2 linked regions of the Drosophila melanogaster genome follow. The protein of the gene in region 1 binds, or shares a complex with, the protein of each later gene. Each region holds a gene or a part of one and is shown on either strand. Other genes may lie near its edges.

What was found.
Region 2: Spt3 (region 1) and Saf6 share a complex: the UniProt entries of both Drosophila melanogaster proteins name them as parts of the spt-Ada-Gcn5 acetyltransferase (SAGA) complex.

Annotation. Positions count from the first base shown.
Region 1 is NT_033777.3:12,015,225-12,019,312, reverse strand, and holds Spt3 (Spt3), read right to left. Parts: upstream 2,158-4,088; 5' UTR 2,088-2,157; coding exon 933-2,087; 3' UTR 763-932; downstream 1-762. Other genes in the region: DCAF12 (DDB1 and CUL4 associated factor 12), read left to right, coding at 2,495-2,761, 2,831-3,385, 3,445-3,849, 3,914-4,066. UniProt on the Drosophila melanogaster protein: Component of the transcription regulatory complex SAGA, a multiprotein complex that activates transcription by remodeling chromatin and mediating histone acetylation and deubiquitination. The SAGA complex predominantly acetylates histone H3.
Region 2 is NT_033779.5:812,533-817,776, forward strand, and holds Saf6 (SAGA factor-like TAF6), read right to left. Parts: upstream 3,419-5,244; 5' UTR 3,300-3,418; coding exon 2,943-3,299; intron 2,890-2,942; coding exon 2,743-2,889; intron 2,690-2,742; coding exon 1,711-2,689; intron 1,653-1,710; coding exon 1,419-1,652; intron 1,362-1,418; coding exon 925-1,361; 3' UTR 782-924; downstream 1-781. Other genes in the region: Dbp21E2 (DEAD box protein 21E2), read left to right, coding at 30-779; Pex12 (peroxin 12), read left to right, coding at 3,551-4,444; CG15880 (uncharacterized protein), read right to left, coding at 4,514-4,650, 4,712-5,244. UniProt on the Drosophila melanogaster protein: Component of the transcription regulatory complex SAGA, a multiprotein complex that activates transcription by remodeling chromatin and mediating histone acetylation and deubiquitination. The SAGA complex predominantly acetylates histone H3.

The sequences.
Region 1 (4,088 bases):
TCAACATTAAGATCCGATTAAACTAGGATATCCCACCGAAGAAAATAACAAGAGGATACCTTTAAAGGTGCATCGATTTTAAGTCAAATTTCGGACCGCATGTTATCAGATAAACAAGCGGGTGATAGGAATAAGAAAAATTTCAAATAAATGGTTTTTAAAAGTTATTTTAAAAAGGTTTTTGGAAAAGATTTGGATTTTGCCTTTGCTATACAATCATGACCACAATTGCACATATGTACATATATTAAAAGTTCAAGTGACATTGAGCAATAATTCTTAATCCTTTTCAATTCACGGCAAAAGACAGAATGAAACCCGCCACCCATAACTGCGGAATGAATTTTAACCCCTTTACCCTTCGTTGCTATGCGTGTCACACACATTTATATGCACAACAGGAAGTTGATTATTAAGTGCGTTCGCGAGTTGCTTCTCTTAATGCCTTATGCTGCAGTCTCTCCTGCAATCCTGCGGCATCCTTGCTGGTCCTTCTCCTTCGCTCCGTCTGTGTGGCACACGTGCGAGTGCGCCTGTCGGCAAATTTCTTTATTGCGCTTTTATTTATCTGTCGGTGCCAGTTTCAACTTCGTTTACCGCTTCAATTTATCGGCTCCATGCGAGGCAGATTCACCCGTCCGTAATTGGAGTGCGTTTTTCTGTCTTTTAGTCGCAGCCTCAAAGGCCAGGATATGTGCCACAGGCAAATTGAATTAATGAATATGCCTAGTTGTTCTTGACCTCTCAGGAAAAAACTTTTTTAACGAGCCAAAATTGCTTTATTTTATAATTTGTATAATTAAAATGTAGAGCGCGTTAATTGTTGGGGATTGAATTACTTTAAATGAATTAATTGTACAGTCTATTTTTTGTGAATAAAATCAATAATTGACGCAAATAAAAATAGGCGAGGATATTAAGATCATTAAAACTTAAATGGCTAGAAAACTGCGCCGGAAATCGATGTCGCAAGAGTTGCGATACCGCCCAATCTTACGGCTGCTCATTTGCCGGAAACGGCGCATGGCCTCGTGGATCTCCGGTACACTGATTGGCTTGACCACCTCCATGCCGCGACCCTGTGTGACCTCCGGACAGACGTGCATCATAGCCGGACTGCCTCCGGCGGAGGTCACTCGGCTGTAGGGCTCGGTCGCACGGTTGTCCGAGTTCAGGCGCGTCAGGATCGAATAGTCGACAATGGCGGCAATGGTCTCATGCGCCAGATAGGCCAAAATGTTCATTGTCGGCGTTGGGATGCGAAGGTCCGCGGGCAGGTCCAGAAAGCGGCGGAACTTGTTCTTGATCTTCTCCCCATGGCGGCAGTAGAATGACGTCTTGCGCGCCTCATTGAACTCCAGGTATTGCTGGCCCGTAAGGATCTGCGATATCCGATCTGCGCGGAATAATCTTCGCATTCGGTCCTCGTCGTGTAGCTCGTACACATCGATGGCCAGCTCCTCGTCCTCCTCCTGCTGCTCCAAGTCGTCCATGAAGTCCTGCGGCCTTCCCGTGCGGATACTAAGGAACCTTTTGAGTATGCGCATATCCTTGAGGTGCTTTCGCATCCGAGCTATCTTCACCGGATGGTTGCGCATCAGGAACTCAAAGTCCGCCTGCGACGGGCAGGGATTCTGTTTCCGCCGCATGGCCACCAGCGAAGCCTCATTGAAGATGCCGCGCAGCTGCTGCTGCAGGATCTGCTCCACCAGCTTGACACTTCCCGTCCTGGGCTGATCGCTGTCGCCGAAGCTTCGCATGATATCCGCAATCTCTGTGAGCAGTGAGACAGGTGCATCATCCGGAATGAGAACGTTGGCAACGTTGCTCCCGCTGGCACCACCGGCTACATTATGTCCAGCTAGGTTGATCTGCTGTGGCGAGGGATTCGTCGGTATGCTTCCACTTTGCAGCAGAATCACTTGGCGCTGCACAAGCAGTGGCTTGATGTCCTCGGTGGTCTGCAGTTGCGGCGTGCTGGGCGCCGAGGGCGGGGCAGGTCCAATCATTATCGGCGACGCTGCCATGTCGTTGGAACCCACGCAAACCGAGTTCTGTCGCATTACTCGCTTGGCGTTGTAGTTCATTTTATTTACAAACAAAGTCACCACTTCAATCGCAACAGCTGATTTCGTGAGAATAGATAAAACCCTTTGTGAAAGCGATGGCCTATCGTTAGGGATGAACGATAGTGTAACGCATTTGTGCGACATCCGACTTTATATAAATACTGTATATTATATATATATTATTATATATATATATATATTCAGGTAACCAGAGCGGCCGAGTATTGTGCCAAATAGAAAAATGTCAACACTTGTATTTTTATTTCCCTTAATTTGTATCTCTGCATTAAATGCAAAACAATCGGTTCAGCAAACTTCAGTTCCGAACCAGTAGTTCCACTGTAGTCTACGCACCACCATTTTTGTTTGCGGATGATAACCCGTAAAGCAAAAGACAACAAATCGGATTAAACAATTACCTTAAGATGTTCAACGGGATGGTGAGAACCATCCGCGACAGCGTCGTGGGCACCTATCCGTCCTGCCACGTATCCTCGCGGCTGGAGGAGCGCAGGGCCAAGCAGCGGGCGATGCGACAGGAGCGTAGACGAAAACCGGACAAACCAGACGACTTTGTTACTTACGAGGATTCCGGCAGCGACGAGGAGACGCCCCAACAGCAGGAGGAGGTCCTGAACACATCCTACAACCTGTGCGACTACCTGCGCAGCCGGGAGAGTGGACTCCGAGATGTGGGTATATGTTGTGAAGTCGCACCACTTGCATTGCTAACGTGAACTTTGTCCCACCATCCTCTGCAGCGTCGCAGTGTCAATGTGGAGTACACCAGCCGCTATGTGCTAACCCACGACATGCTGCGCGAGACGCAGATTAGTCTGGGCTACATCAACAAGGTCTTCTGCTCCAAGTGGCTGAGCAGTCGACAAGTGGTTTTCGGGACCAAGTGCAATAAACTGCTCGTCTACGATGTGAACATGCGCCGGGTGGACGCCATCCCAACGCTCTCAAATAGCCGGGCAAACCATCCTGAGGTCCAGGGTGGCCTGCATGCCATCGAGCTGTCGCCCAGCCGATCCTTCCTAGCCACCGGTGCGCGCAACTCCTCCGATATTGCTGTTTACCGACTGCCTACGCTGGATCCCGTCTGTGTGGGCGAGGGTGGGCACCGCGACCTTATAATGGGCATGTGCTGGCTGGATGACCAGTTTCTTGTGTCCGGATCGAAGGACTCGCGCATGGCTCTGTGGCGCATCAACGAGGATCACATGGAGTTTCCAGATGGCGGCGAGGAAGCGTGTCCCACATTCGCAACCATCCACCCCCTTAGTGTCAAGGAAGTTCGCACTGCCCAGAGGGTGAGCTTATGAATGCAAATCAAATCAAAGAACCATTTTATCAATAAGATCTTTTACAGATTCGATCTCTTTGCTTCAACAAGGAGTTTAAGGAGATCGCCGCCCTCTCGCTGAACGGATACATTCACATCTTCAATGCGGAGACCTTCAAGCAGACACTCTCACGAAAGCTGCCAAACTGCCAGGACAACGTGAGCATCGCCTACCACAGCGACGGCCTTTATGCCGTTGGATGCCGTTCCTATACCATCCTTTTGGACGCCCGAACCCTTCAAACCATTAAGAAGATCACATCTCGATACAGTGGCTGCGGTATACGGGCGACTTCGTTCGAAGGTAACCTGCTCACCGTTGGCACGGGTCTGGGCATGCTCCTATTCTACGACATTCGAGCCGGAAAGTATTTGGAGAGCAGTGTGAATGCCTCGCGCACAGTCGCACTCAAGTGCAGCAAAGGAATTGTGGTAAGTGAAGAGGTTACAGTTCCACAAAATACACCAATTCACCTAACTGTTTTGTACATTTCAGTATCCGGAGGATGAGATGGATGGCTTCCAGCAGGTGAAGTATGTGCCCGCCATCTACACCCACTGCTATGACAGCACTAGGATGCGCCTCTTCGCTGCAGGAGGACCACTGCCGGCGACTTTGGTGGGCAACTATGCGGGCGTTTGGCAATAGATTGGCATAGGATCCGATCCGG
Region 2 (5,244 bases), on another chromosome or scaffold:
CAATCAGCTTGTTTTTTCTTATTCGACAGTTCCACTTGGTGCAAAAGGAGGATGCTGGCACCCAGATGATCCTGGCCTCGGCCACCATGCCCACGAACACCAGAGAGATCCTTCACAAAGTCATAGACGTGGACACCATCCGTGAGGTCGTCAGTCCGCACCTGCACCGACTGATGTCTCATGTGACGCAGAAGTTCCTGCGGCTGTCGAAGGCCGATCGGCCCGCCACACTTCTGTCACTCGTGAAGCATGATCTTGCCAAACGTCGCCCTCTTATCGTGTTCAGCAACAAGTCCACCACCAGTGACTTCGTTTCCATCTTCCTGAACAACAGCGGAGTGAACTGCTTAAATCTGAATGGGGATATGCTGATGAAGATCCGTCTTGGCCGCTTCGAGCAGTTCCAAAACGGTCACTGCGACGTCCTTTCCACCACCGATGTGGGAAGTCGTGGCCTGGATACCACACGAGCTCGACATGTGGTCAACTTTGACTTTCCGCTCCACGTCTCCGATTATATCCATCGTTGTGGCAGGATCGGTCGGGTGGGCAACATGGACAAGGCGCTAGTCACGAACCTGATATCATCGCGCCGCGAAATCGACGTCGTCCAGCGAATTGAGCACGCAGCTCGAACAGGTGGACTTCTGCCGGATGTGAATGCCAACATCCGAAACATTATCAACAAGCGGATTGTGGCGGAGATGAAAGCTGCAGGAATGCCCGTGCCCGCTTTGGGCTCACTAAATGGACATACGCCTCAGGAAGAAGCCTTTTAGTTCTGTGTTTTTATGTATTACGAGTAAAGTTGTATCACCTTTCGGAAGACCGAAGAGGAAGTCTAAAGTAAACGAAGAGTTTTATTGAGATCCCCAGGTCCTCCTGGACCTCCAGAAGGTCTTATAATACTTTCCCAAGTCCCTTTCAGATCCTTAGGTAGTGATAGCCACTGATGGGCGACCACTTTCTCACGTTGGTCAGGGGCTTAAAGAGTTTTCGTTTGGCGATCAGGATGTCGGAGCTGGCACCGCCACCCCCACCACCGTTCGCTGCCGACGAAGGCGAGTCTTCGGAGTGGGGAACAGTCGCAACCTTCGGCTTCAGCAGCACCGGGCGGCATCCTGCAAACTTAAAGCGGATGTTGCCCGCGCAGTTGAGCTGAAGATTTGGTGACTGAAGGTCGGGGAAAGCCTCGCAGAGCGTAGGCTTCGGTTTGAGTGCCTTGCTAGGATCGTCTCCGTGGCACATGGCTGCCGCAAGAGTACTCCATTCCAACCGACGCACTCCCGGCACTGATTCTATTCTGTAAGCGGGTTGTTTGGCCTTCACATACCGTCTGGTTACCATCTTTTCGTAGGCTCCTGCAATGATTTTTAGTTACTTAACCGCTTTTCATGGAACACATGGGTGTTTCTTACGCGCATAGTGGACCAAGAAGGGCTGCAGAGCAGCACCGCATCCGTACTCCAGCCATTCATACAGGTATACGTCATCATGACCGCCAAGGAAGATGGCAGCCGGAGCCAGATCCGGCCACAGGCTATCCGGGATTTCCTCGACGCGCAGTTTGTAGATGTAGGGAATAAACTCACGAAAGGCATATTCTCCCAGGGCAATGAGACCGCGCACTGCTCTACTGATATACCTAAAGTCTTAATTAAGAAATCCAAAGATAAGGATCCAGGCTAACAAATTGTAAGGATGATTTACCTCTCTCACTGCTGACGTGGCGACCTTCGAAGAATCTCGCTAGGCGTCTCTTGATCAAAAACAGGCACTCTGCATGTAGGTAACCACTTTGAGATGCCAGCTGTCCTATAGTTTCACACAGCTCGTCCACCAGGCCATTGCCGACTGGACAGGCAAAGTAGCTGGATAGGTGTTCCGCCTCCGGCTGAGGATTCAATTCCTCCTCCTCCGATTGCAGCTTGTAGATTGTGTGTTCCATGGTGCTCTCACCCGGAAACATCTGGGGTTCTTGCTCCTGTTTCTCTACTCCCATGACCTCCGGATTTTCCTGGGTTTCCGGATTATGGCACTGGTCTGGCTCAACCTTTAGTTCTTCTTCAAACTCCATTTTGATGGAGGTGGTTTGTCCCGGATCTGGGTCGACGTGTGGAGCTTTGATAGTTTCGTAAGGTGCCATTAGCTGGCTGACCAGTACCTCGGCCAGGTTGAAGTACTCCGGCCGGCAGGCATTGTGATTAGCAGTGGCGTTGTAGTTGCATGCTCGGAGCAGTCGCCAGCATCGCTGGCTCAAATGGTCCTGCTGCTTAAAGGCTAGCAACTGGACCATCTTACTCACAATCACTCGGTAGATAGATCCCATCAGGGGTGTCTGAAAAGCATGGCAGACGGCGGCCGTCTGGGATTTGCTGTCCGCAAAAAGGGCTGCCGTCACAAGACTCTGGACACACTGTCTTAGTTGGTCCATGTGCTTATCCTCCACTGGGCAGATGCTCTGAAAGTCTGCATCATCAGGTGTGCACAGATTGACTTCCTTCTGAAACTCCGCGCTCAGCTCGAAGATCTTATCCGAGTGAAAGTAAAAACTGCCGTCATAGTCGATCCGGTCCCAGTCGCTGTCCATCGCACCCAGCATAGGCGGCACATCGGCATCTTTTAGCACTTCGTTCACCAGGTCGTATGTCACCACTCCGCCCGAGTGGCGCGAGTATATTTTGACATTCTGAGAGATCAAGAGGTTAGAGGGATTAAAGAGGTGTATTACGGTCGACTTACATTGATCAGCTCCCAGACTTTGTAGGAGGCATCTTCCGCCAAACGGGCGCACACATCCTGGGAGAGTTCCACATCGGTCTGGTCGTGCTGCTCCCAAAAGATCTTGATGCTGCGCGGATCGAAACCAGCATAGCTCTTCTGATGACCCTACAGTAAAGAGAGCTTGTACCATAAGAGGGCCCTGAGATTGGCATCCTTACCATTCGACTGGAGTTGCCAGAGGCTTCTGCGCCCGCGATGCCGCCTGCAAGTCCGTGCCCACCACTTCCTGCTACCGCAAATGAGGCGTCAAACAGATTGTAGTTACCCAGACTAGATGTTGGCGTGGTGGGCGTTGTCACCATGTTTAGGTGAGTGGGCGTGGCCGGCAGGCTGCCCACTGCAACGCCCCCGCTCACTGCGGATGCGATGGAGGATGATGCGGATGCCGACAGGGAATTCTTTCCAGTCAACTCCAATTTCGCCGACTTAGATCGCGACTTAGTGGACTTTTTGCTGACTTTGCTGTGCGATGACTTGTTCAGCTCGTCAGTATTGCTGGCGCCAGAGGTTTTCATCTTCTTGGTTTTGTATAATTCATAAATGTATATATTTTCAACAGTTGGTAAATAAACAACGAAGCTGCACCACAAAATAAACAAATCTTGCCAGATTATTAACCCAACTATCGATGGTGCCAACGACTTATCGATATATTGATGAGCACTCGACTGTTTTCAAGCCAAGCCCGATAACACCAGTACTGATAAGAATAACAACATAATTGGTATTCGAATTTAATTCCATTTATTTAAATGCTATAAACACAATGGCAGAAGCGGCAAATGTGCGCCAGAACCTTCAAAATGTGCCGTCGATCTTCGAAATTTCAGCGTCAGAGACGCTGGACAACCTGATTTACCCGGCACTGAGCAAGATATTCGACTACTTTGGACTACGCCTGGACTTTAAACTATGGGGGAGTTTGAGGATTCAGGAGGAGCTGTCGCCATTGCTGACTTGGCTGCTGCAGTACCTGTATCTGCGCAAGAGGGCCTCCTCTTTCGGTGAGAGCTTTTACGGATTGCAAAGGACGGTCACAACCACTGGGGATCTGCTGAACCGCAGGCAGCAGTTCGCCTCTGCCACACTGCTAACCTTCATGCCTTACGTGGAGCGGAAGCTAAGGACCAGGATCACCAGGCACGAGGACACCAGTCCCTGGGAGCAACGCCTTCTAAGCGCATTCCATGCTTTCCATGCCGCCAAGGCGGCGCACACATTCTTTTACCTCGTAAAGTACGCCTCAAACCACTCGCCCATCTTCAGATTGTTGGGGCTGACCCTTCGCTATCCCAGCGAACCTCCCAAAGAGGATCAGTGGACCTACGTGGTCCTAAAGATGCTGGAGGTCTTGGCCTTCTTCCTGCAGTTCGTCCAGTGGTGGTACTCCAACGACCAGCGGCGGAAAGTGGGTGGAACTCTGATAAATCCCGAAGCGATGCCGAGAAAGCAGCTGCCCAAGGAAGTGCAGCAGAGCCTTCCCCAGCGGGGAGAGTGCCCAGTCTGCCTGCTGTCCATCCAGACGCCCACTGCCTGCTCCGTTTCCGGCTACGTCTTTTGCTGGAAGTGCATCGTTAGCCACATGAAGGAGCACGGCACCTGCCCGGTCACCCACTATCCCATCAGTCTGGACGACCTGGTGCGCATCTACGAGACGTAACGTTAAGCATTCCTTTTATGTTTTTTGCTTGTTTTTGTTTAATACATTTTATAAGGAATTGGGAACTGTTTACATCTCGCTGAGGAAGAAACCCAAACGTTGGTCGTAACATATGTAGACGTGGTAGAAGTCAAAGTAGACCGTGCATAGATAGATAAAGAAGCACTCACAGGAGATGAACTCGCCCATACCGAATACGGAGTAGGCTGCAGAGGATCCGGGGATTAGAATTGTAGACATCCTTCCATTCGGTTAGGTTCTACTCACCCAAGGGAAAGCAAAACTTCTGGTGTATAAAGTAAAAAATCCACATGACCACCACCCAGACGTAGTAGGTGAGCACCAGACCGCTCTTCAACCGCAAGGAGAATTCCTCATGCAGCTGCCCAATCCTATCGCTCATATAGTACTTGGCGCACACAAAGGAACCTGCCATGTAAATGGCACACGATACGAATAGCGACAAGGCGATGGTTATGTGCAGCAATGAGTCGCCATCCTCTTGGGGGAAGGTGCCCCATAGCAGTACGCTGGAACTACTGACAGCCATAATGATGGCCATCAGGCAGCCGAAACCTCGGACCGGCCTGCGCAGATTCCTCCGATAGAATCGGAACTGCAGCCATGCACTGGCAATGAGAAATGGGAACTCCAGGTAGCAAGCCAGAGCCCACACTTTGTGCTGAGACTTGGCAGCCGCCGATGTGGAGGGAAAGATGTTGAAGGCATTACAGGTGGTATACGTGGTGGACTGGAAGTCCGTGGTGATGGCCATCACCAGGTTGTACACCATGCAGACG